7 linked regions of the Bombyx mori genome follow. The protein of the gene in region 1 interacts with the protein of each later gene in a biochemical or structural test. Links are inferred from orthologs where the notes say so. Each region holds a gene or a part of one and is shown in the gene's direction. Other genes may lie near its edges.

Evidence for each region.
Region 2: of the proteins of ubiquitin-like modifier-activating enzyme 1 (region 1) and ubiquitin-conjugating enzyme E2 J2, one has a biochemical effect on the other in vitro, tested with the Homo sapiens proteins (2 studies listed by BioGRID). The link is inferred for Bombyx mori from reciprocal best matches to the Homo sapiens genes UBA1 and UBE2J2.
Region 3: of the proteins of ubiquitin-like modifier-activating enzyme 1 (region 1) and ubiquitin-conjugating enzyme E2 G2, one has a biochemical effect on the other in vitro, tested with the Homo sapiens proteins (5 studies listed by BioGRID, with this or other methods). The link is inferred for Bombyx mori from reciprocal best matches to the Homo sapiens genes UBA1 and UBE2G2.
Region 4: of the proteins of ubiquitin-like modifier-activating enzyme 1 (region 1) and ubiquitin-conjugating enzyme E2 T, one has a biochemical effect on the other in vitro, tested with the Homo sapiens proteins (4 studies listed by BioGRID, with this or other methods). The link is inferred for Bombyx mori from reciprocal best matches to the Homo sapiens genes UBA1 and UBE2T.
Region 5: of the proteins of ubiquitin-like modifier-activating enzyme 1 (region 1) and ubiquitin-conjugating enzyme E2 W, one has a biochemical effect on the other in vitro, tested with the Homo sapiens proteins (5 studies listed by BioGRID, with this or other methods). The link is inferred for Bombyx mori from reciprocal best matches to the Homo sapiens genes UBA1 and UBE2W.
Region 6: of the proteins of ubiquitin-like modifier-activating enzyme 1 (region 1) and Ubcd4, one has a biochemical effect on the other in vitro, tested with the Homo sapiens proteins (9 studies listed by BioGRID, with this or other methods). The link is inferred for Bombyx mori from reciprocal best matches to the Homo sapiens genes UBA1 and UBE2K.
Region 7: of the proteins of ubiquitin-like modifier-activating enzyme 1 (region 1) and ubiquitin conjugating enzyme, one has a biochemical effect on the other in vitro, tested with the Homo sapiens proteins (3 studies listed by BioGRID, with this or other methods). The link is inferred for Bombyx mori from reciprocal best matches to the Homo sapiens genes UBA1 and UBE2G1.

The regions. Positions count from the first base shown.
Region 1 is NC_085114.1:15,613,383-15,615,893, forward strand, and holds the end of ubiquitin-like modifier-activating enzyme 1, read left to right. Parts: intron 1-320; coding exon 321-626; intron 627-916; coding exon 917-1,690; 3' UTR 1,691-2,011; downstream 2,012-2,511. UniProt on the Homo sapiens protein: Catalyzes the first step in ubiquitin conjugation to mark cellular proteins for degradation through the ubiquitin-proteasome system.
Region 2 is NC_085127.1:11,027,151-11,031,165, reverse strand, and holds the start of ubiquitin-conjugating enzyme E2 J2, read left to right. Parts: upstream 1-1,215; 5' UTR 1,216-3,033; coding exon 3,034-3,699; 3' UTR 3,700-4,015. UniProt on the Homo sapiens protein: Catalyzes the covalent attachment of ubiquitin to other proteins. Seems to function in the selective degradation of misfolded membrane proteins from the endoplasmic reticulum (ERAD).
Region 3 is NC_085107.1:15,239,403-15,242,080, forward strand, and holds part of ubiquitin-conjugating enzyme E2 G2, read left to right. Parts: intron 1-1,743; coding exon 1,744-1,884; intron 1,885-2,006; coding exon 2,007-2,128; 3' UTR 2,129-2,678. UniProt on the Homo sapiens protein: Accepts ubiquitin from the E1 complex and catalyzes its covalent attachment to other proteins. In vitro catalyzes 'Lys-48'-linked polyubiquitination. Involved in endoplasmic reticulum-associated degradation (ERAD).
Region 4 is NC_085126.1:11,811,434-11,814,995, forward strand, and holds ubiquitin-conjugating enzyme E2 T, read left to right. Parts: upstream 1-1,495; 5' UTR 1,496-1,633; coding exon 1,634-1,889; intron 1,890-2,442; coding exon 2,443-2,657; 3' UTR 2,658-3,062; downstream 3,063-3,562. UniProt on the Homo sapiens protein: Accepts ubiquitin from the E1 complex and catalyzes its covalent attachment to other proteins. Catalyzes monoubiquitination. Involved in mitomycin-C (MMC)-induced DNA repair.
Region 5 is NC_085117.1:6,909,219-6,912,718, reverse strand, and holds part of ubiquitin-conjugating enzyme E2 W, read left to right. Parts: intron 1-449; coding exon 450-605; intron 606-2,363; coding exon 2,364-2,439; intron 2,440-3,113; coding exon 3,114-3,127; 3' UTR 3,128-3,500. UniProt on the Homo sapiens protein: Accepts ubiquitin from the E1 complex and catalyzes its covalent attachment to other proteins.
Region 6 is NC_085107.1:6,308,503-6,312,544, forward strand, and holds the start of Ubcd4 (ubiquitin conjugating enzyme 4), read left to right. Parts: upstream 1-1,242; coding exon 1,243-1,305; intron 1,306-4,042. UniProt on the Homo sapiens protein: Accepts ubiquitin from the E1 complex and catalyzes its covalent attachment to other proteins. In vitro, in the presence or in the absence of BRCA1-BARD1 E3 ubiquitin-protein ligase complex, catalyzes the synthesis of 'Lys-48'-linked polyubiquitin chains.
Region 7 is NC_085122.1:9,586,214-9,590,363, forward strand, and holds the start of ubiquitin conjugating enzyme, read left to right. Parts: upstream 1-1,350; 5' UTR 1,351-1,438; coding exon 1,439-1,484; intron 1,485-1,863; coding exon 1,864-1,966; intron 1,967-2,300; coding exon 2,301-2,398; intron 2,399-3,079; coding exon 3,080-3,258; intron 3,259-4,150. Other genes in the region: myb-binding protein 1A, read left to right, coding at 1-557. UniProt on the Homo sapiens protein: Accepts ubiquitin from the E1 complex and catalyzes its covalent attachment to other proteins. In vitro catalyzes 'Lys-48'-, as well as 'Lys-63'-linked polyubiquitination. May be involved in degradation of muscle-specific proteins.

The DNA.
Region 1 (2,511 bases):
TGCTTGCTATGTATTTATAGTAATGAGCAACATACGTTAGTCAGTCAGTGGTTTACATGCAGCGATCCACCGCGGTCGCTGACGCGAATAAACATGTGATTATACCTAGTGTTTTATTGACCGCTCCGATGAGGTTTATGGAGGACAACACGCAACGGACAAACAACTAACACACACACCTCCTCCATCTTCTCCATAAAAACCTCACAAGGTCAACTTCTACAATAGAAACGAAAAATTATACTCATTTCACTCCATTCATTTTATTTGTTTCTCTTGAAAAAAACAAAATGTAAATCTCCAAAATTGTTAAATTACAGAACGCTATAAACGAACGCCCTCACAGTTTCGACGACTGCGTGATATGGGCGAGACATCATTGGGAGAACCAATACGCGAACCAGATCAAGCAGCTCCTTTACAACTTCCCGGCGAAACAGTTGACCACGAGCGGAGCGCCTTTCTGGTCCGGACCGAAGCGTTGTCCTTCACCCCTCGCCTTCGATCCTAATGATGAACTACACGTCGATTACATTGTTGCCGCAGCGAACCTCAGGGCTACGGTATATGGAATCCCATCCTGTGTTGACAGGGAAAACATCGCCAAGCTTGCCGCTAGCATACAGGTACGTAAAACTCTGAATAAATCATTGTTTACGGCAAGAGTAACTCTACTTATGTTGCATCTTGGATCATGTGATAATAGGTTGTAGAACAATTTGATTCATACACCTGGTGCATCCGCTTCTATTTAATAGATATTAACTAGTATCACAGGCATTGTTAATGAAATATCAGACCTATATTTGTTAAAATTTATTATTTTCCTATAAACTAGAACATTACAAACAACAACGAAACAAAAATGTATCCTAGACATTTGATGGTGGTTATTTTATTCTATTTTATAATTCAGGTACCGAAATTCAGCCCCAAATCCGGCGTGAAGATCGCGGTGAGCGACGCCCAGTTACAGCAAAACAATGACGAGATGGATCAAGACAGGGTTAAGAACATGATCGCAGAGCTGCCGTCTCCAAGCAAACTCGGATCTCTTAAGATCACACCGCTAGAATTCGAAAAAGATGATGATACAAATTTCCACATGGACTTCATCGTTGCCGCCTCCAACCTGCGGGCTACCAACTACAAGATCACGCCAGCCGACAGACATCGCTCTAAACTCATCGCTGGCAAGATTATCCCTGCCATTGCCACTACAACATCCGTGGTGGCTGGCTTAGTCTGCCTCGAACTTTACAAACTGGCCCAAGGCTTCAATAAGCTGGAAGTGTTCAAGAACGGCTTCGTCAACCTTGCCCTGCCCTTCTTCGGTTTCTCTGAACCGATTGCGCCGTCGACCAACACCTACAATGAGAATAAGTGGACATTATGGGACAGATTTGAAGTTAAAGGAGAGATTACATTACAGCAATTTTTAGATCACTTCAAAAACGAACACAAGTTGGAGATCACCATGTTGTCTCAAGGTGTGTGCATGCTTTATTCGTTCTTCATGCCCAAAGCCAAGCGGCTGGAACGATTGAACCTGCCAATGTCGGAGGTGGTCACAAAAGTGTCCAAGAAGAAGTTGGAACCGCATGTGAATGCATTAGTTTTTGAATTGTGCTGCAATGATGATGACGGGAATGATGTGGAGGTCCCGTATGTAAAATACACTCTGCCTTAGTCTATTTAATGTGATCTTGAGCCCTCCCAAAGTGGTGCTGAAAAATAATAGTTACCACTACGCAGAGAGGGTTCTATTTAATACCGTGATAGTTAATATAAATTGTGTGATTATATTTGTGCTTCAGAATTTGCTTCAGTCTAAATTTCAAATAATTACTCATAGTCGTTTCGTTTCATTCGTTTGCTCACTGTCAAATGATGATGTGCTGCATTTTTATTATTATTTTACGTCGTGAAAAAGTTTTTTACCAAATTCGATATTTTATTGTAAAATCAGATGGGTCTGTATGTGGAACGAAAAATAAATAAAAAACCAACATACTTTTGTTTCATTTATTATGTAAAAAGGTATAATAACGAAAATATTCCGGACATCTTGCTCGGTAGTGCCAAAGTCATATGGTTCAGGTAGAACTTGATTATTTGAATCTCTTCACAAAAAACGTTAAAAAAATAAACAATCTTTATAAAATATTTCAAAAACAAAGTATTGTATTTTAGGTTACATTTAGTATGCATATAGGTATAAAAGCAAATACGCCTCGGACACAAAACTCCAATAACGAGTTAGTGAATTTCTAGTGATGTAAATTATATTTTGACAAGATTTTAATTTGTGTCTTTTATCAACAGTAAATATTGAAAAGAAATTGACATAGATTTTCGTAAAACTTGATGAGCCCTGGAGTTCGTAGAGATAAGGAGCACTCTACGGAGCCAAAATTAGAAGATTGTTTCTTTACATTAATCGATGAGTAATGTTTATCGGCTGAGGCTGTATTTGTTTATAGACCCTTACATATTGGGAAAGCATAATTC
Region 2 (4,015 bases), on another chromosome or scaffold:
GCAAAGACAGGAGAAAGCCCTCCAGTTACCGACCGATTACCTTGCTCTCGCACGTGGGCAAGTTGTTCGAGCGGCTGCTCCTGAGGAGAATATCGCCGTATATTCTCCTCAGGCCGGAGCAATTCGGCTTTAGAAGCGGCCACTCGACGACTCTGCAACTGACCCGTGTCCTGCATCACTTGGCGGACCGGCGAAACTCGGGCCAATACACGGTCGCGGTCCTTCTCGATATCGAGAAGGCCTTCGACCGTGTGTGGCACGAGGGGCTGGTCCACAAGCTGCGGGACGCGGGCCTACCGCACGCTCACGTGCGACTGCTCGGGTCGTATCTGGAGGGCAGAACCTTCTTTGTCGCGGTCGAGGGCGCACGGTCTTCCGTGCGTCCCATTACGGCCGGGGTTCCCCAGGGTAGTGTCCTATCTCCTATCCTATACGCCCTCTATACCAATGACATCCCCACCCTGGAGGGTCACCTTCGGGCGTGGGAGGAGGACGTGAAGTTGGCCTTGTTCGCTGACGACTCGGCCTACTTCTCGTCCTCTCCGTTCCCCTCTGCAGCCATCATGAGGATGCAGAGGCTTTTGGATTTACTGCCCCAGTGGCTGGACCGTTGGAGAGTCGCGGTCAATGTGGGAAAGACCGCGGCCTTACTCTACGGTCCGGTCCGTATCAGAGTTGTCCCAAAGAAACTCAGCCTCCGAGGTGTGAATGTCGAGTTCAGGACCACGGTCCGGTACCTCGGATGCGACATCGACCGCTCTTTGAGCATGGTCGCGCACGTCAACCGAGTCATCGGTCAGGCCCGCGCGGCCATGTTCTTGTTGCGGCCGGTGTTTGCGTCCGGGCTTCCGACCAGGACCAAACTCGCCATTTAAAAGACATACGTCCGTTCCCGCCTCACATACGCTGCTGTGGCCTGGTATCACCTGTTGTCGCCGTCCCAGCGATCTAGGTTGCAGGCCCAGCAGAGTCTTTCCCTCCGCATTATCGTCGGGGCCGGGCAGTACGTCAGAAATGACGTTATTGCCCGGGACCTAGGTGTGGAGTCGCTCGTGGAGGCTGCACCCCGTAGGTGCAGCCTCATTTCCATGAAGGGCTTTGACCCCACCCCCCACCCCCTTTTGGGATGGGGTGTTCTTACCCGCTGCAGTCCTCCCCCCCATCAATATTGTATAACGATGGGGAGAGGGGGAGAGGACTGCAGCGCGGAGTGCGGATTTGCTCTCTCCCCCATATTAGGTTAAGTTAGATTAGGATTAGGTTTAGGTGTGACGGCGCGCGCTGTCCCGGCACTCCACGGAGTGCAGGAGCGGCGCGCTGTCGTCGCTTAGATGTAAGTTAGATTAAGTTAGGTGTACTTTAGGTTAAGCTAGGATAAGATAAAATTGTAAAAAAAAAAAAAAAGAAAAAAAAAAAAAAAAAAAATAAAAAAAAAAAAAAAACAATATGGAGGAGAGCAGCAGCCGCCCCCGGAAGAAGAAGGAAGAAAGAAGATGAAGAAGTGAAGACAGAAATCGTCCCACCACTTACCTCGAGCCTGTATACAGTCCATCCCGCAGTGCATCACCCCTGCCTTAATAGGCGGGGAGCTACAAGTCCGGGTAGAGGGGTTTCCCCGAGGCCCGCTCCGCGCCCCCGTAAGGGGACGCGACGACCCCACGACTGCAAATTCAGTTCGAGACAGCGAGCCGACGAGTCAAGACCTCTCCAGAAGAAGAGGAGAGAGCCGTCGAACAAGAAAAGACTCGCTCCTACGCCCTGCGCCGGTCAAGCCACGAGGACCGTGTGAACGCCATACTTGAAGCCTTCGTTATTTTCCTCGAACCAATCCCAGCACCCGTTCCGCGACAGCCACTGCGGCAATACTCGAGCCACCACGTTTCAACGAGTAAGAAGTCTAAAAATCACACGTGGTGGCCGAAACCTGAGCGGTGGCCGTCCGGAATATTAACCTATTAAGTTAACCTCTGGTGTTACGTTGCTTATTTATTTAAGCTAGTAATAATAAGCTTATTAAATCAAATTTACCCGCTGATTATTGACACCGAAAGCACATTATTGGGTGGGCTAACCAAAAACCAAAATCATCCAAAGGAATCTTTTAATCTTGGAATGCCTTGCCGTAACCACAGGTTACTATGGGATACTGCATTTTGTTATACGAAAATGCAAACAATGAATTAAGAAAAAATGTGTGTTTTATTAATTAAGTAGTTATTTGTGCAATAAGAAACTTTGCTCTCGTGTAGCACACATAACTTCTACCTCAGCAGTGAGAAAGTGAGAACACATAACTTAGGAGACATAGATGAACAGGAAAAGATTGAAATAACTAATAAATTCCAAAATCTAATTTCGAAGGAGTTTGTTTTTTCACTCGCTTTTTTATACGCATGTGAAAGAGATAGAGCACAGTAAACTTCGAATGTTTCAAATTAATGGCTGAACAATGTCAGTTCGTGGCACTGAAGATTGAAAACTTAAAAAGCTACTTTGATCCAAGCTCGAATCAAAATCGCGTTTTGTTCAATGTTGTCTCACAGCAAAAGCTACATATTTGAGCTGCTGAGGTGAAAAGGTATTTTAACGGTCTATTTTGATACATATGGTCCATTCCATTTAAAGTTTTTTTTTGTGATTATAGGTTATAAGGATAAGGATAAGATAAGGATATAAGGCTATTCCATTCAAACAAAAAATATTTTGTTTTGTAAACAAAAGTAGCTCATTTAAATATCGGTTTTACAATACATGTTTGTTCACTTTTTAGAGTAGTCTGTTAGGCTTTTCTTTTAAACGCGAGATACGTTGCACTATAAGTACCATTACTGTCAACAATGTTAAATGTCTACCTTGCTTGCTCTACTCTGTGCCATTGTGATATTGCTATTTGTCGTATGTACATTACATACCCATTTATTAACTAAAACAGATTGGTTTTAAGAAATGAAAACATTTTGTATGTAGTCATTTGCTATAAAACATTTTACTCGAAGAACTGTAAACACTCAAAAGTTAACAATTCATGTGAACATGGCAAAAACAAAGGTGACAGGAGCCACTAGCAGATTGAAGCAGGATTATTTGAGGCTCAAGAATGACCCAGTACCATATGTTACGGCCGAACCTGTGCCGTCCAACATACTGGAATGGCATTACGTCGTTAAAGGGCCGGAGAAAAGTCCCTACGAAGGGGGATATTATCATGGAAAGATTATTTTCCCAAGGGAATTTCCGTTCAAACCACCTTCGATTTACATGATAACACCGAATGGCAGGTTCAAGACAAACACACGATTGTGCCTCAGTATTACAGACTTTCATCCGGACACTTGGAACCCTGCTTGGTCTATTTCTACGATCCTTACAGGTCTGTTGAGTTTTATGTTGGAGAAGACTCCTACATTGGGGTCCATTGAAACTTCAGAATACCAAAAGCGATGTTTGGCTGCAGAATCTCTAGAGATAAACATAAAAAATAAAATGTTTTGTGAATTGTTCCCTGAATATGTAGAGGAGATTGAACAGCAATTAAAACAACGACAAGAGGCAATGTTGTTGAATCAAGACAGTGGTGCAAATGAAGTAACCTCTGAGCCACAGTCTAGTATGAATTGTATTTTGACAAATCTGTTTGTTCTTGTAGCTTTTGTATGCCTTACTTACATGGTCAAACATGTTTTAGGATCATATGAATAGTCTTAAATTTATCTTATTGAGCAAAAGAAACAAAATTCACATCTGCCGGCTGGTCTTTTGTTTTTTAAATGTTTATAATTACATTTATTTGCTCTACAAATGCAATGTACATATTGTAATTTATTTTGTAAATAATTGTTATTCAATCTTGAAATAAACCCATGTTTGACCTTAAATAAAACTTGATTTTATGTAGGTAACAATGTATAGAGTTTAACATGCATTGCATGAGGAATGTCTACTAAGGTTTTGCTACTTTTACCGTGTCATTTATTTTTAAATGTATTCAACAACAAGCCTTTATTTGAAGACCGAA
Region 3 (2,678 bases), on another chromosome or scaffold:
TCTAGTGAAAGTATATTAGGCAAGTGACTATAAATTATGACCAGTGAAGATAAGTTGGTTGAAGGATTGACATTTTAAATTGAACAGAAAATTTATCCAGAATATATTTCTCAAAGCACCAAAATCATCCCAAGATTTTGTTACTGTTCTAGTTTCTATCAAGTAGTTTGAGGCAGACATACCTGTACACTTTTTTTATTGTTTTTTAATGCTCAGTAATATACGGTCTAAAATGGTGTTTCTGTATCAAGAATTGAAAGTAAAGCTAATTTTAATACTAACTTCTCTAGAACTCATGGTATGGAATAACATGTCCAAGAAAATTATAAATACTACCTATGTACATACTTATTCAAATATTTATAAAGAATATAATTAGATGTTTAAAAAAACAGCTTTAAAATTATTATTTAAAAGTCATTTCATCATTATATGCATAAATATATTGATAACATTGTTTATTTTTATTAAGGAGGTCACATGTTATCAATTAATAAAATTGCAATATTGCAACTATGTTTCAATAACAAAAATAAAACTATTAAATTAAAATAATATGTATTTGATAACCTATAAACAACCTTGTATTTAATTGCAATGACAATGCACATCTGATGGCATGAAAATGTATTTGCAGTTCAAAAATGAAATGATTACATTGCTCTTTTTCATAAATATAAAGTTAAATTTGGTATTAAAATTGGATTACTTTTTTACAATTAAGAGAGCAACTGACAAAAACTTACCATCTTTCGGAATAAATTGAAAGGCAAATGGTTTCATTATCAATAAACAATATTTTTTGAGATAATTGTCTTAGTTAAAATCCTATTACCTAGTATGTTTTTTTTAAATAAGGTTAGTAAAATATGTTTTTGACAAAATTCAATGTTAACATAACAACAATCATTAAGTAGGTAGGTAGGTACTCATAGTCTTACTCATGACGAGCTACATGGCCCTATGGAAAAACTTTTGTTCTCTAGAAATGTACTGTATGTTTCTGCATCTTTACTGAGAAGAATTTATATATTCTGCGATCTCATTTTTAATTGCATAATTCATTGCTCGAAAGATCACTGGGGAAGAGTTATAGCCATAAACCCATAGACGCAGCCCACTGAGTTTCTCGCCGGATCTTCTCAGCGGGTCGCGTTTCCGATCTGGTGGTAGATTCTGCGAAGCACGGTCCTTGCTAGGGCCAGTGCTAGCATCACACCGGTTTGAACCCTGTGAGCTCACCCATACGTTATGGCGAAACTGAAATAGCCTCTGTGTGCTTAGTTCTAGTTTATTAACGTTCTCAATAGCGTAAAAGTTAGCTCATATTTGCATGCAATGGGATCGTTTGCCTACGTTTTCCGCTAGGGGCGCTGTTCCAACTGCATTCAAAATTGGGTTAATTTTTACTGCACACTGAAGGCTATCAGCATAGGTAGGAGAAAAAAAGAAAGAAAAAAAGGCCATAAACCACCCACTGGTCCACTGTAGGTCTTCATTGTTCATTTGTGTGACAGGCTCTAGTACGAATGTCTATTCTCTATATTATGATGTTTCGCGAAATGTATCATGTGTATGAGGTGTGAAGTATTTTCTGTCTCAAGTAGTGTGTTGGCACTCCTTATTATTGCTGCCGCAAACGACGATGACCACGCATCATCAGAAAAATGGAAAATGCCGTCAGCCTACTAAGATTATAAACTTTAAAAAACATGAAATTAATTAAATTTATTCAATTTACAGTATATGCTGATGGTCGGGTATGCATATCAATCTTACATGCACCAGGTGATGATCCAATGGGCTACGAAACCAGTGCTGAAAGATGGTCACCTGTACAAAGTGTCGAAAAAATACTGCTCTCTGTTGTCAGCATGTTAGCAGGTGGGTTTTAAAATTTACAATTTGAATTCCAAAACAGCAATATATATTTTTTACCCCTAAATAAATTATTGTATCATTAATGTAGACAGAAGCTGAATTTGTTCAATAATAACATATTTCAGAACCCAACGACGAAAGTGGAGCCAATGTCGATGCTGCCAAAATGTGGAGAGAAGACAGAGAACAATTTAATAAAATAGCCGAAGAAATCGTAAGGAAAACTCTGGACCTGCCCCCTCCTTAATATTTTATTTCTTGATTATTTTATATCAATATCTAAATGAGATGCTAAGTAAATGCTGAAATGGATATCACGTTTAGGTACGGTATTTTATTATTCGCAAATTATATTTATAATGTTATATAATATATTCACTTTTAACAAACATTTTTATCAACTTTTATCTGCAAAGCTCATGCATAAAATATTAGAATGTTGCCAACTAGTTTTGGAAGCCTTATTAGACTTTGCTTGTTATATCAATTATATTGACTTAAGGAGCGTCAATTAACAAACCGATTGACCTCTGGTCATTTTATTTATCATGAAAGAGATATGAAACTTTTAACAGAAATAATGTTTTGTATTTATAAATGTTGAAGTTACAATTTGTTAAACTACAATAATTATATTCATATAAAGGTTTTTAACATTAAACTTTATGAGACCTGCTTAGCCAATCGAGGAAAGCATCACGGGCTTGGTACTGCAATGTAAAATTTACAGAACAAATTTCCTACTTAATTAATTCTAGTTTTGAGTAGCTGTGGTAGAGAGGGTTTTGAGAACCTAT
Region 4 (3,562 bases), on another chromosome or scaffold:
CAATATCTCGGCTGTATGTTAAGAGCGCGTACAACTTGGTCCACTTGAAAGAAGTGAAACCTCTTTTGCGGTGTGTAGTATTGTGGTTTTCTTCATTTTTCACCCTTAATTCAAAATTATCTTGTAATATTGGGAGTGCTGTGTATAAGAGAAATGACCTAGCTCGCTTTATCCTTTCCTTCTTTCCACGGTCGAGTGGTTCGCTAGACGCTCTGTCTGTTTTCTCACTCTCGCTCTTCCTAAATTGTATCTTTTTTCTCTAGCCCCAACGAGTCTGTCGTGAATTAAATTTTACTCTCACCGCACCTAAAGAAGTTTCACTTCAAAAATACTAATGCCAGAGGTAATTTATCTAACCTGTTTTTTACATCCATGGCGAATAAATTATGCACAATACGCTAAAAGTATGGGTGTTGGTGTAACAATTGATGGCGCATAATTTCAAACTTGAAGTTTGTAGATTATTAGCACGGGAAAAGGTATGGAGGAGCTGCTGCAACACTTAATTTCCGTTGATCAGTAAATGGAATTCACTTTTAAACACGCAAAAAAAAAAATCATAATCAACACAAATCTAACACCCTAAGTGGTCATCAGGTTTTTGTTTTGATCTTTTAGGCGGACGAGCATGCGGCCCACCTGATTGTGAGTGGTTGCCGTCGTCCATGGACGTAAACAATGGTTAGGGGCAGAGCCAAGCCGCTGCATACTAGGCTATGGGATAATGGTAGTCATCATGGCCTAAAGGATAAGACGTCGGGTGCATTCGTATCGAGCGATGCACTGGTGTTCGAATCCCACAGGCGGGTACCAATTTTTCTAATGAAATACGTACTTATCAAATGTTCACTTCCATGGTGAAGGATTAGCAAAGTGTAATAAAAATCAAACCCGCAAAATTATAATTTGCTACGCAGTTTGACAAATAATATTACACGCATTACTAACGCGTTTCACTGTGCTACTGGTCAACGAAAGCAATGAGAGCTCGTCGAGAAAGCGTTTATTCCAGTTGATCAAATCCTTAAAAATGAACGAGCGTCTTAAAATGGAGGAAGAATTAGGCTGTGAAAACTAAATGAACTCCTTTCTTTAATTTTATGAAAATGAAATTGCTCGACACCTATGAAATAACAGCCAGCAGCAATTTAAACAAAATAGCTAGACGTAGCTTCACGGGCTCTTTCAAGAAATTCGCTGAAGTACCAGTAAATTCCCATCAGCTTACTAAGAGGATATTTAATTTTATCTCACCAAAAACCTACGATCTTACGGTCTCATCTTACCTCTTTTAATTCTATTTCATTTCATTACCTATTCAATTAATTTCATTTGATTACATTCAGTTTCATTTGATTACATTCAGTTTCATTTGATTACATTCCATTACAAATAAATATATTTTTAGACGTCTTTAAAAAGTTTTGGGTATAGTATAGCCTGCATAGCTTAAGTTATCTTTGCCTATTCTATTAACGACTCAAAAAAATCTATTTGTTTTGTAGAACTTCAAACTGTTTGAAGTTTTATGTCCCGGGAACTTAGAATTCTTAGTCCCGGTCATAACAATGAATTGAATTAAAAAGTACGAATCTTCTCTCAGAAATTAAGTATCTAAATATCAAGTAATACTATGCTATCAAGTGCTAGAGCTGCTCGCATCGCGCGTGAGGTGAAGAATTTTGAAATGAAGCCACCTTGGGGGATTAGTTGTTTTCCGTTAAAAGACGATCAGTATGACAACCTGTCCGTTATTCTTCTTGGACCAAAGGGATCTCCTTACGAGAAAGGAACGTTCAAATTAACTGTGTCTATCCCGGAAAGATATCCGTTCGAGCCTCCTTTAGTTAAATTTATAACACCAGTTTATCATCCTAATATTGACAATGGTAGGTACTAATAAGTTTTATAATGTTGTAGGACACACGGTTCACCTGGTATTAAATGTTTAACTGTAATGTACTGGGCTATACTGACTGACGGTTATTGTGGACCATTGTGAAATACGCGAAGATCGAACGATCACGACAGAAATAGAATGGTGTTACCTATTTGGGCTCACTTAAGACCTACCGCCATGCCTTTTGTTTCAGGCGTTCAGACAGTGCTATTCCAGGTCAACATCAGACTGTGTTATATTTGTATTAGATTTAGTATTATATTTGCCTGAAATAACAATAAGAAGGAAGTGATTAAGCACTTGTATTACACTTAAGTAAACTTGTAAATTTGGTTTATTGAGGATGGCGAGTAATCATTGGTCTCAGTAGGTATTGAGATAGAATTATTATAGTCATGTTTATAATTTAAAACAATAACTATGAATTAAGTACTATAGAAAAACGTACTAAAATGTTTATCTATCATAAACTACAAAAAAAACTAGCAACAGCAAATAAAAATAAAACAATACACTTTCCAATATTCTAATTTATTTTGCAGGAGGAAGAATATGTATGGACCTGTTAAAAATGCCACCAAAAGGTACTTGGTTACCGACGATCACACTGGAAACGTTACTTGTTTCATTACAATCACTCCTCGCGAACCCAAACCCTGATGACCCACTGATGATGGATATCGCTTATGAGTATAAATACAACATGGATACTTTTATTCAGAATGCTAAACAACAAACTGAGAAATATGCTGTGTGATATCAGGACTAATGATAACATAAAAAATGTTAACTTGAATTTATTATTAAGTGAAAAGGAATAGAGTTTTATGATTACAGGCCAAAGTTGTTGACCCACTTGATTTAGAGTACTTAAAATGTAGGCCGTATTCATTGTTTTTATATGCCCTTTGTTTTATATGTATATGTATAACTTTCAGGATACTTATAGGATACTTTCACAATTTTAGATGCATCTCATCAAACATTGTCTTGATATCTGCAATGAGTATTAAGCTGTGTATCTAATATATGCTAACAATATATTTTTATATGATATATTCCATTATTAATAGAAAATACAAAATTAGTACCTGTTATAATAATTTATGAAATTGATAAGAGAAGTGCCCATACAATATTAAAAAAAAAGTGTTTGTTACAACTTTTGTTTTTCTTCTGATTTTCTGTTTTTATTTTTATTAAACTGTTTGTGTTAGATCAAAGGTGTTGGTACCACAAACCTGCATATTTCACAAAGTAGTTGTGGGTATAACCTTCATCATGGTATTCATGGTATAACTGTGTACAGTGTGAAGCAAATCTATGGACAATATTTCTGTACTGTGTGCTGCGCTAGAAATAAGACAACAGGGATATGAACTCACTCTGATAAACTGCATACATAGCCATAGCATAGCATCAATTGCAGGAATGCAACTGACGATTTGGACTTTGAAAGTGAATACATATAAGTGTCAATATCTGTCACAAGACTGGTCCATTTTACCTTTGATATAGTCGTTTTTGCATATATGGACTTGTTCTTTTTTCCCTACCAATTTGCTGGTAGCATTAGAAGTTATTCCAGCTACGACCGGAAGGGTAGGTGAGCACACAGGCTCAACCTAAGAGAATTTGCTAACACTAGCATTAGCAGTTCCT
Region 5 (3,500 bases), on another chromosome or scaffold:
AATCGTTTTTTTTTAATCTATTTCAAGATAAAACAAGATTATGAATCATAATGATAATAAAATATTTTCACATCGTTTCGATTAAATATATGACAACAGGGGCGTGGCTATTGTTTCTTGCTAAATAAGGAACGGTGTTTATATTTATCTTAAGCGTCCGTGGCCTTATAAGCTACTACGTCCGTTAATTATAGAGAAATGCAACAACTGCAGGCTATAGTCCGAATAAAAAAATGAAAGTATAAGCAAATAAATATTTTTTCCAAAGGCTTACAAAATTTTCAATTTGATTTTTGAACGCTCTTAATAGATTCAACAGAAATCACTAAATTGAAATTGGGACAGGTCAGCTGGTGTTGCCAAAAAAATATTCTAAAAAAAAACTTCCAAATTAGTAGAAAAAATAATCGATGTCGCATAATTGAAAACGAAATTTTGCGTATGTACAGGTAACGTTCATAGGCAACAACATTCCCGTTCACCCGCACGTGTACTCGAACGGGCACATCTGCCTTTCGATCCTCACCGACGACTGGTCGCCGGCGCTGTCGGTGCAATCAGTCTGCCTCTCGATCGTGTCGATGCTCAGTAGCTGTAAGGAAAAGGTATTATGATCTATTTTAATAACGGACCTTGACGCAATCTCTGAATAAGAAGATAGTGTAAACTTAAGAAGCGAGTTATTTTAATGCATCTAGATGTTTATCCAGTAAAATAACTCTGAATAAGAAAGTAGTATATAGGACATGGGCCATTTTCGACCCAGCTACTCGTGCTCTCAAGGACATTAGTGAAATATCTATAGAAAAAAACATTTCATTTTTACATACTTATTATAAAATTTAAGGGCATTTTAATGGTGGGTTAATTAAAATCATAAATAAAAAGAAATCAGCATGACTAATCTACATTGATAATATTGAAGGAGTTGCCATGGGTAAAATATATTATTTATATTTTAAACAATTCACATTAAATATTCTTAAAAAAACATTATAATGCAAAAAACTAGCAAAATATATTAACATATTTAATTAATAGATTTTAAAATTAATATAAAATATTATATCTAAACAAAAATCTATTTTTATACTTTTAAATCCGTGAATAAATCATTAAAAATTACATTGATGAACAATTATTGATCTTTAACAAAAAAAAAACTACGCTGTCCTTGAACTTCGTTTAGTGGGCCGTGCAAAGTATGGAGAGTGGCCCATGTCCTTTAAGAAGCGAGTTATTTTAATGCATTTGCCCAGTAAAAAAAACTTAAGAAAAAAGAATAAACACTACTACGTCTGTTCAATGCGAATTCTAAACTCGAACACTCGTTTGATGCGAAAATAATCGGGACATCTTCTCCAAAAACTTTAACATTTATAATTCGGAACACTATTAAAATTAGTCCACTGTCATTCGCATAATGACGTCCTCGACTATGGCCCATAATATCAATCGTAGTTTAAACTAATATCGAAGTTTTAAACGATCACTGAAGATCAACTCGTAATTTAAATCAGTGTTAAACTCACCTCCGTAGCTTAAATTATCTCAAAGCTTAAACCGTGCGTTGGGTTTAAACGGTTCTTTTCAAAATGGCCAAATATTTCGCATAAATCATGATTGATATTATGGACCTAAGTGCATTAATAATTATACGTCACTTTTCAGCTTTCCCTGTTATAAAAAGCTATGCAAATGATGAATATTTTGTTTTCGTTGTGTCGTCTTGAAAAGAGTGGTACAGTCGTTAATATCTACAATTGAGACTACAATTCACCTTGTAATTTCAATAGGAAATTCCAGTAAACACATAACTCCGGGATAGCTTGGAGTTCATTCAACCGTCTGTGCAATTAAAAGAAATCCTTTCGCTAATTATTGCACTCGACGACAGCTGATCTTATTGGTGTTAAGTGGTTACAGACATCACAACCTGAGTGCGGAGAACCACTATGAGACACGGCGTGGAAGCAACATTTAGATTTAGACCATTGGAACTTTAGAATTATAGAGACCTATTTCGAAATTTCTGGATATCGACTTTAATTCAAAAATTGATCTAGAACGACCTTTTTCAGCGACTGTTAATAATCAAATTACCAAAAGTAGCTTATAAAGGGACACGCTTATCTATCGGTCTCTTTCACTACGTTCCCCTCCTCTACGTCTTTTCGGTTTGAAAACTTTATTCGATGTTTTCCAAAAAATACATATTTTGAGTTGGGTCTCTATAATTTTAAAGGTGCGATTTATATTGTGTGACAGCTGTACCACTCTTGAACCCGGAACCCATCGATTCGCTTCATAACAGAAGTAATTTTTAGTCATTAAATATATAAAATCCAATTTTAACATTCCAGAGACGACCGCCTGATAATTCGTTCTACGTTAAAACCTGTAATAAAAATCCTAAGAAAACAAAATGGTGGTATCATGGTGAGTGAAGCAAGATTTTATTTTTCATTGTCCATTCGTATCATATATTGCAACATCAAACCGTCTTTATCTTAAGACTTGAAGTCATTTACATTAGAGATATCCAGATACCAGCATCGAATTTCACCACACCGATATTAATGAGTGATCGTGATGTGAAAATTTGAAATGGTTTTAAAACATATTTCGTGGGTAGAACAAAAAAAACATGAATATAAATAAAATTAATAAGAGCTTAAAACCCGTGCATAACTCATATTATACATTAAAAAAAAGTAGCAATCGAACGGAGACATTTAACCCCATATCTACTTTATGTAATACTATCAAAATTATTCCGCTTTTTTCACCCACCACAATTACCCACTAAATTATAAATTCAAAAGTATATTTAATAAAGATGGGCGCGAAAATACGAGAATGACAATACTAAATTCAAATGTTGTTTTTTTTTATTGCGTTTCGACAAAAAGTAAAATCAAAAAAACTAAGGAGTCATTAAAATTGCATAAATTTAATATAATGAATTTATTCTGTACTTTTTGCGCTTCGATAAGACGATACGAACGGTATCTATGAAAATACAATGAATATTAGATACCGCTCACCTCGACAAGTAGCGCCGAGATCTGACGCAGCGAAGCCATCATTGACCGCTCTCTCAATTATTCCAGATGATTCGGTGTAGCAAGCCATGCGGTTCATTCTATCGAACATGGATGATTAAATCTCAGTATGTGATAAGTGTTATAATAATGAGGATGTACGGTGCGCGAACGAGTCCGGGACGGGGCGCGTCGAACGACGGACTTATTGTCCTCAACAAGGATCAAAATGTCCGTCACAAACGCGATCATATCGCACATACAGAGCTATAATGTCACTTATGCGATTCTTGCCTGAGAAAATCAATTTTTTTTATAGTTATTAGTGAGACGTTTGCTTTTACTGATACTCTTCCCCCTGAAGCTCTTCCCCAACTTACGCAATAAAAAAAAAAATCTTTAGTAGAGAAGAACTTATATAACAGTAATAAAATGTTGATTTTTCAAATTCTTCTC
Region 6 (4,042 bases), on another chromosome or scaffold:
ATTTAGGTTTGAAACTGACTACTTATTACTCTGAATTCCGTTCTTTGTGTGTATTGTGAACCGTTTTCATAAGTGCTCACTGTTGATAACTTCTTAAAAATATATTTTCGTTATTGATGAACAAGATAGCTCATTCTTTTGAAGTGACTTTATTAAATTTGTAATAAGCAATTGCTGTGTGTTAGAATTTTACCTTTACACCTTTAACAGCACACTTTTAATTTTATTATGATTGTCTAATTTGGTTACTTATACACTAAAATGTTAGAATTACATTAGTTTTCTATAAAGTTACACGCCTTTTATCTTGTAATTAAGTAAACAAATGCATTATTTTTATTGTTTGGATAATGTTAAGCATCCTCAGTAAATCATTTATAGAATTTTATTAAGTACTGGTAACGACTGTACACAATGAAGTGTGTATTCGGGAACAACGGGCGCCCTTCATAGCCTTGCACGAGTTATTTATGTATGCGAGAGCATCATGTTCTTATTTCAAACACCATTTATTTTTAAATTCATAACATAAACTACTATTGGATTGAGGTACTTAGCATGCATTAGACAAAATTTTAACATAAACATTATCACAACGCACCTTTAAGCGCCAGGTACATAGGTGGAACCCGGTGACATAGGGAGTAAATTAACATAACTTCGTCCTTAGACTGTTTATAACACTGGTCATACCTCAAAATAAGACCTAAAACTTACTCACTATTATTAACAGCAAACATCACGAAACTAAATTAACTTTTATTTTAATATTGCGAATAGGAAATCACAGACGGTAATAAAATTATTGCCACACATTCAAACCAACCACAGTACACAACTTGACTTGAAGCCTATTGAAATGCGTTTACGAATGCGAGGTCTGTTTCTCTTTAAAATCTCATGCAAAATGTTGAGTGATCTGTGAGATTTCTGAACGAAATACAGAGAAAGTAAAATTCATAGAGAAAGAAAACTACCGAAAATTATTGCAATGATATGGTAATACCGTTAGTAAGTGAGAAGAGAATGTCAAATTTATATTTTTAGTCTATGTTCGACGTCAGGGTGTGGTAGAATTTAATTTCAGATATAGTGGTAAACATTTGCTCGGAATACGTTTTTGAAAACTCTTTGGTAGAATATCCTGGTATCAATCTCTTTATTTCATCGCCTGCGATCGTGCGCTTTAAACGTTTTTGAATCCAGTAAAGCAATAAGTGAAAATTAAGTAGAATTTTAACAATGGCAAATATAGCAGCCAAACGTATAAAAAGAGAGTTCAAAGAGATAATGAAAAGTGAAGAGGTATGGATAATAATTTAACTAAACTTTATATTTGTTTTGATGTTTAGAATGTAGAACTGGAGTTACTTGCACTTTTGTTAAAATGTCATATTTTGTTGGAATGCATTATTATTATTTAGATAGTTAAATTGCCCAAGAAACTAAATTGTTGGATTGTCTCGATATAATAAAACAAAGAACAAATAGCCAGTTCAGAACAATGTGTGCGTGATTCAGCAAACTTGTAGAAATCATGTTTTGTTTAAATTCAAAACGTTAATGCTATTTTTAATTCGTCGAAAAGGAATTATTTTACTGCTTCGTAATAGTAAAATTAGCTTTTCAAAATACATCTATAATGTTTTTCGTGATTCATACGAGAAAAAGTAAACATTTTGTTTTCTATATTTTCTACCAATGTTTTTAATAGAAACAATACTTATATTACCCACATTGATCTTTATAAGTAATTGAAGTTGTGTTTAAAATAAAATAAAAGATTTTATCCGATTTATGCCCAAGCAAAAGTATTTTTGGCTTATTTATCAAATCACAGTTATGACACTGGTGGCTTCAGGCAACCATTTACTTCCAAAAAGCCAGACATAGTACAGGTATTTTTACATTATTTTGGATTTATTCCCTCATTATTGATTGCCATTGAAATAGAACTTGTGTGTGGGGCACCAGCATCCCCTTGTATATGTGTTCAGCTTACCAAGTAGCAATATTTACACATAACATACCGAATTTTTTTAAATTAAATATCTGTAGCACTATTGTCATGGACAGATTGCCTTATTTATTGCAATTGTAAGAGCACACCTGCGTGCAATGCATGTAATACATTAATGTACCGAACATGATCCAGGCGATACTAAGCTAACAGCATTCATAATCCACATTTTGATTACAATAGTAATTGTCCTCATAAACATGAACTAGACGATGACCGAGCTTTGCTCGGTATTAATTTTTTTTTTGATAAATTGTCTTTCGGTTGGCTTAACAACGTCATCTGTGGAAATAACTTTAGTGTTATTGTGTCTTTAAACAATTATGAAAAATAGTATTATTATTCGCCAATATATGTCGGGAAGTCATAAAGTTGATTATCGATAAAGTTGATTATTGAAAACACAAGTAAAACAACATTTCCTAAAATAAATTCTAGCTAGATCGATTTATCGCTCCCTGAAATCCCATGTATACTAAATTTCATAAAAATCGTTGGAGCCATTTCCGAGATTCAGATTATATATATATACAAGAATTGCTTGTTTAAAGGTATAAGATTCTGTGTTTGTGTAGACTAAGAATATTAAATATCTCAGTCCTAGCCCAAACCCAGCAAAAACTGAATTTTTCATTAGACAAAGTTTTTGCACTTCCTGCAAGTATGTGCTCTCCAATTAGCAAGTATCTTTTACTGCCTAGGTTGTATCTGAAAGCTAGCATGTGTAGTAAGAAGGTTACTCCTACTTAAAATATCTGCACTGCATTAGCACCAAGGCCCAATTTTTGTTTATTTATATATAGTGTAGATTATTGGAACTATCTTCTTATTGAGATCCATATTAAGAGTTTTTCAGGAATACCATTCATTAAATTGAATTACCAGGGCTCTTGCATTTACTTTTCTTAACCTTCTGTACTGAAATAATATACTGTACAATGACACATTGTGTAATTGTGTTAGTCATATTTGTATATCTAAAAGTGCATACTTGCTGCATTGTAAGCTTGCACAATTTCTTATCTCTCTCTAACCTTTAGCTTCTGCACGGCTGCCCACTGAGATCTTCTAGCACCTCACATCTAAATGGAACAAATGTTTATGTTTCTGCAAATATAAACAGCAGGGAAAACAAAGAGGGTTGTAATTGCCAGGAGGAGTGGGATTTGCTAACAACTGCCTTAGCACCTCTAAAGAAAACCTGCCATCTCAAGGGCAATTGCTTCACGAATTCATCTTCTACCAGACCGGAATTGCGCCCCACTGAGAAGATCTGGCGAGAAATTTAGCAGGCTCTAAATGTTATAGAGGGTAGATTTACTTTGAACTCTGACGAGTTTGATGAGTTCGGTTAGCAGGGTTCCTATACTTGCTCCTAGTGTTAGAGTTGCAGGTATCTAATGCAAGAGTTATTGGATCAGATAGATCTGTAAGGACGTGTCTAGAACGTCAACGATGACTGACTCCTGTGTGAGTCTGTGGCGATATACTTGCTCCTAGAGTTAGAGTTGTAGGTATCTAATGCACGAGTTATTGGATCAGATAGATCTGTAAGGACGTGTCTAGGACGTCAACGATGACTGACTCCTGTATGAGTCTGTGGCGATGGTGGCGGATGTGATTTTCATCAAGATTCATTATCATTTCTTCAAGATCTACATATTGCGATGTAACATCATATTACTTATATCTCAATCAATTCTAGGGCTTTAACAGCCTTCATAAAAAGGAGGCTATTTATCAATTCAGCTCTGTTTTTTGTGTTAATTCAAAAGTTTTTCTCGGTCAACTGATTTTTATGATTCTTTTTTTTTTTATTATCAAATTTCAATTTTTATCGAAGTCTGAGCAGTCGTTTTTGAGTTATCCTTATTGATCTATATTTAATTGACATTGATTACATTGATCAAATTATCTCAAAATCAAAAAATGATCTAATTTTAATTTTTAAATTTGGTTTTCTTTTTTTTAATTTCGGTATCGTATTCATAAAGCTGTTTGGAACCCATTTTCGTCCTGAAA
Region 7 (4,150 bases), on another chromosome or scaffold:
TGGAATGGGAAGGAATTTATGAGTTAGCCCCGATCGTAATCGAGAATGTGTTCAATCCCGAAGTTAGACAGTTCCGGCGCAACGAGGGATTGGAACTTTTGGCGGGCCTGTATCGAGCCTTGAAGAGAAACAAACCCGAAACGGATAAAGCGCTCGCTTGCCTAGATAATTTGGAAAATAAATTTGATATTACATTAAGAAAAACACTGAAGGGGCAACAGCAATTGGCTGTCAAAAACAATTTCTTCCTATTACTAAAAAAATTGATAAACAGCATGAAAATTTTCCACGAGAGCTGCCATGTTAAATGTAATTTAGATTTTAATACTTTGTTAGAAATCGTAGGTTCTTGTAAGGGTACACTAAAAGCGAGTGAAAATAATAAGAAAGCTAATGCGATTAACCAAAATAGTAAAAATGGTGAAATCGCGAGTAAGCAGCCTAAAAAAAATTTAAAGAATAATATAAAAAACAAAAGAAAACTAGAACACATGAACGGACACGCTGATGCGCACGGAAAGAAAAAACGAAGAGATTCTGAAACAGTTGATTTGTAAAATATTTTTTGTATAATTTATCATTTTCACAATGAATATAATTATTTTACATAATTTAAAAATTTCGTCTTTCTTTCTTCCCTTTAGTTTAGTAAAATATTAACTCAAAATATGCATTCAAGCTTTGACTACCTAACTTTGGATATAAGTTATTCAAACATAATTTATTTAAAACCAAAGCTAGTATGTACATAGCGACATCTATAAAAAAGGTTATTACACTCTGTGAAACGCTCAATAGGTGGCGTTATAAATATCCGCTCTGAGTTACTAGACCAAATAAAGTTATTAGAAGATTGAAGTGTGGAACACATGAAATACCATTGTTTTGGATAAAATATTTCTTAGTTTTTAAGGGCATGCACTTTGTGACAGTTAAGGGATTCAGTAACTAGACTAGACTCTAATACTTTTAAGTTTTGAACAATAGCTTCATTTCTTTGCCTCCTTAAAAATTACAGAAAATGTTGACTAATCTCATCGCATTATTTAAACCTAATCAACAGAATTGTCGTAATCAATATGAAGTTTGGCGTGTAGAAAGGCTCAAACGAAGCGATATGTTTTCTTAAATTCACTAACTTCTTATGACAATATAATACAAAGCATTTACCAGAGCTCAAGAGCTTTCCTACGTTACTTAGATAGTAAAAAACAATATTGAAAGAATAATAAAATTATATTTTAGCTGTAAACCAAACCATATAATTAAGATTAATCAGTGACAGTAGAATGACACAGAAAATATATGGCAACACAAAATCAACCGGAAGTAAGTAGTAACTCATATGTTTCACAACCTGCTCAAAACTCTGCCAGCCATCTTTTGTCGAAAAATCATTTGTTTCGTGTCTTCAGGGTAAATTTCACAATTGTAATTAATGTCAGAGCCACAGTCTTCGCTTTTATTAAAAAAGCAATTAGCTGGTAAGTTCTTATTTAACATAAAACTCATGTATAATATGCCAGTCACCGCGCTAGTCAAGTTCTGAACGAAATTCGTTGACCTTATCGAGTCAAATTTGGTAACTATTAATTGTAGTATTTAACGCATTTATAGATTATATTTCAGGTCTAATGGAGTTAGGTTAATTAATGAGGAATAAACCTGCCAAATAAAATCAATATCCGTTGCGATGACAGGTACACTTTGCCAAAGTCAAACTGTAGATCGAGTGTATTTACGATTTGGATTTGGCAAAGGTTCACATTACTGGCGAACAATGCGGTTAAATGTCCATAATCTTCCGATCTGTGCATTGTCGTTTGTAAAATGAGTGTCTTTTAAATCTTTTTTTTATTTCAGAACTGAACAAAAACCCAGTAGAAGGCTTTTCTGCTGGCTTAATAGATGACAATGATATATACAAATGGGAAGTCCTCATTATTGGTCCCCCAGACACACTATAGTGAGTAAATACCCAAGTTATATATAGTTCAAAGCTATATCTCTCAGTAATCACTATTATTAATTGTTTGCATATTGTAATGTTTATAAAAATGCTGGTGGTATGGTGTATAGCCTTTAAGATGTGTAGATGTATATCATCCTGCATATTTTTTGAAAGAAGCTTCAAGTTATTCAGTTCTGATGGTTCAAGGCAGGTGGCAACATTCACATTGTGATGTCTAAAGACTCCTGTAACCACCATACAGGCTGCAAGTTTTTTAACCATCTATTTAATAAAGAAAAGTATTAAATTATGAGACATGTTGTTTATTCTTAATAAAAATAATTTTCAGCGAGGGAGGTTTCTTTAAAGCACATTTAAATTTTCCCAAGGAATATCCTTTGAGACCACCCCGGATGAAATTTGTGACTGAAATATGGCATCCAAATAGTGAGTATGATGATAATTTTTTTTAGTTAATAATAGTAGAGTATTTTTAACATTTTAAGTTTAGATTACTTTTATATTGACTTAAAGCTAAACAAACCCATTAAGTTTGTTTTGCGAGTGCTTATCATAAATTAGATGTCTAAGTATTTTTTGTTTTGTTTTGATACACTGAATTAGAGAAATATAGCATTACTGTAAAGTGCTTCACTCATTAAAATCTAAGGGTAATTTGATTGGTACAAATTCATTATGATTACAGCTAATAAATATTGTATAGAAAATAAATATGAAAACTACAGTATTTATAATTATTGAACGTATTGTTCATCCAAACGAGTCTGTACTGTCCTGACTATTTCTGTTTCAAAGCAGTGTCATTCAATACAATTGAGACTGACTTGATGTCTAAAACTGGATAATGACATTTACAAAATGGGATCTTCACTCTGGTAACTATAACACCAGGTGGACCATTACACAATTGACTCCATATATCCAATAAATAAATAAGAGTTTAATAAAAAAGCAAAGGTGAACTTCTTAGTACCATGGATTTACTATGTGGGTGCCTTCTATTATATTTTAGAGAGGAATTTATGGTGCAGGTTTAAGGAGTCCCTACAAATGTGGATTACACTCGAATTATTTATGTAATTAATGTAATGAAAATATGACTTTCAGTTGATAAAAATGGTGATGTCTGCATATCAATACTTCACGAGCCAGGTGATGACAAATGGGGTTATGAAAAAGCTTCAGAACGATGGTTACCTGTGCACACAGTTGAGACTATACTGATCAGTGTCATTTCAATGCTCGCTGATCCAAATGATGAGAGTCCCGCTAATGTTGATGCTGCAGTAAGTGGTTTTTTTTTTGCACGTAAAATGTTTCCATTTTAATTCAATAATTTCATTGTAGTTGTAAATGTTTTTGTTATAGAATATTATATTATATATTACTTAACCTATTAAATGCATTTGTAGCAATTTATATAGCTTAGAGCAGGCAGAACATGATGCTAATATACCAAATAGTTGATAGGCAAACTGTTGTTTGTGTTGTAATGTCCAAAATTAAAACTGATATTTCAGTTCGCTTTCTTTAATTGAATTTAATAATTTAATTCATTAATGAATGAATTCACGAATGAAATTTAATTCATTAATATTTAAAAATTAATATCATTTTAAACTTTCAGACACACATTTGTATATCATTAGGGAATTAAGCAGGTAGCGATCACTAACATATTATTTAAACACATCACACACAAAGACACTACTTTTGTACTAAGAGAGGCATAATATAATCTTCCCTAACTAGATATCTTTACTATTCTCGATCATTATTTTTCTGAAGTATACCTTAAAATTTTGGATATGTATATTTTTTTAACTCTTGGATTTCCCTAACAAAGAAATAAAATATTTATCAATACAAAGTTGTACTTTTATCTATAAAATATAAAATGCTTCTGTAGGAATAATTTGTATTATGTAGATAGTTGATTTAACTAACTCTCTTGTACAAACCTTTTTTTTTATTGCTTAGATGGGTAGACGACTCACAGCCCATCTGGTGTTAACCTAGCAATGCTCAGAAACAAATTATGCATAAGCAAGATATAAGCCAGGCAAAATTCAAATTCAATCTTAGTACAATTATTCAAACTGATAGAGAATAGAAACTGTTCTATAAATATAGAATCTGAACATTTAATATGTGGGCGTACATACCTTTACGCACATT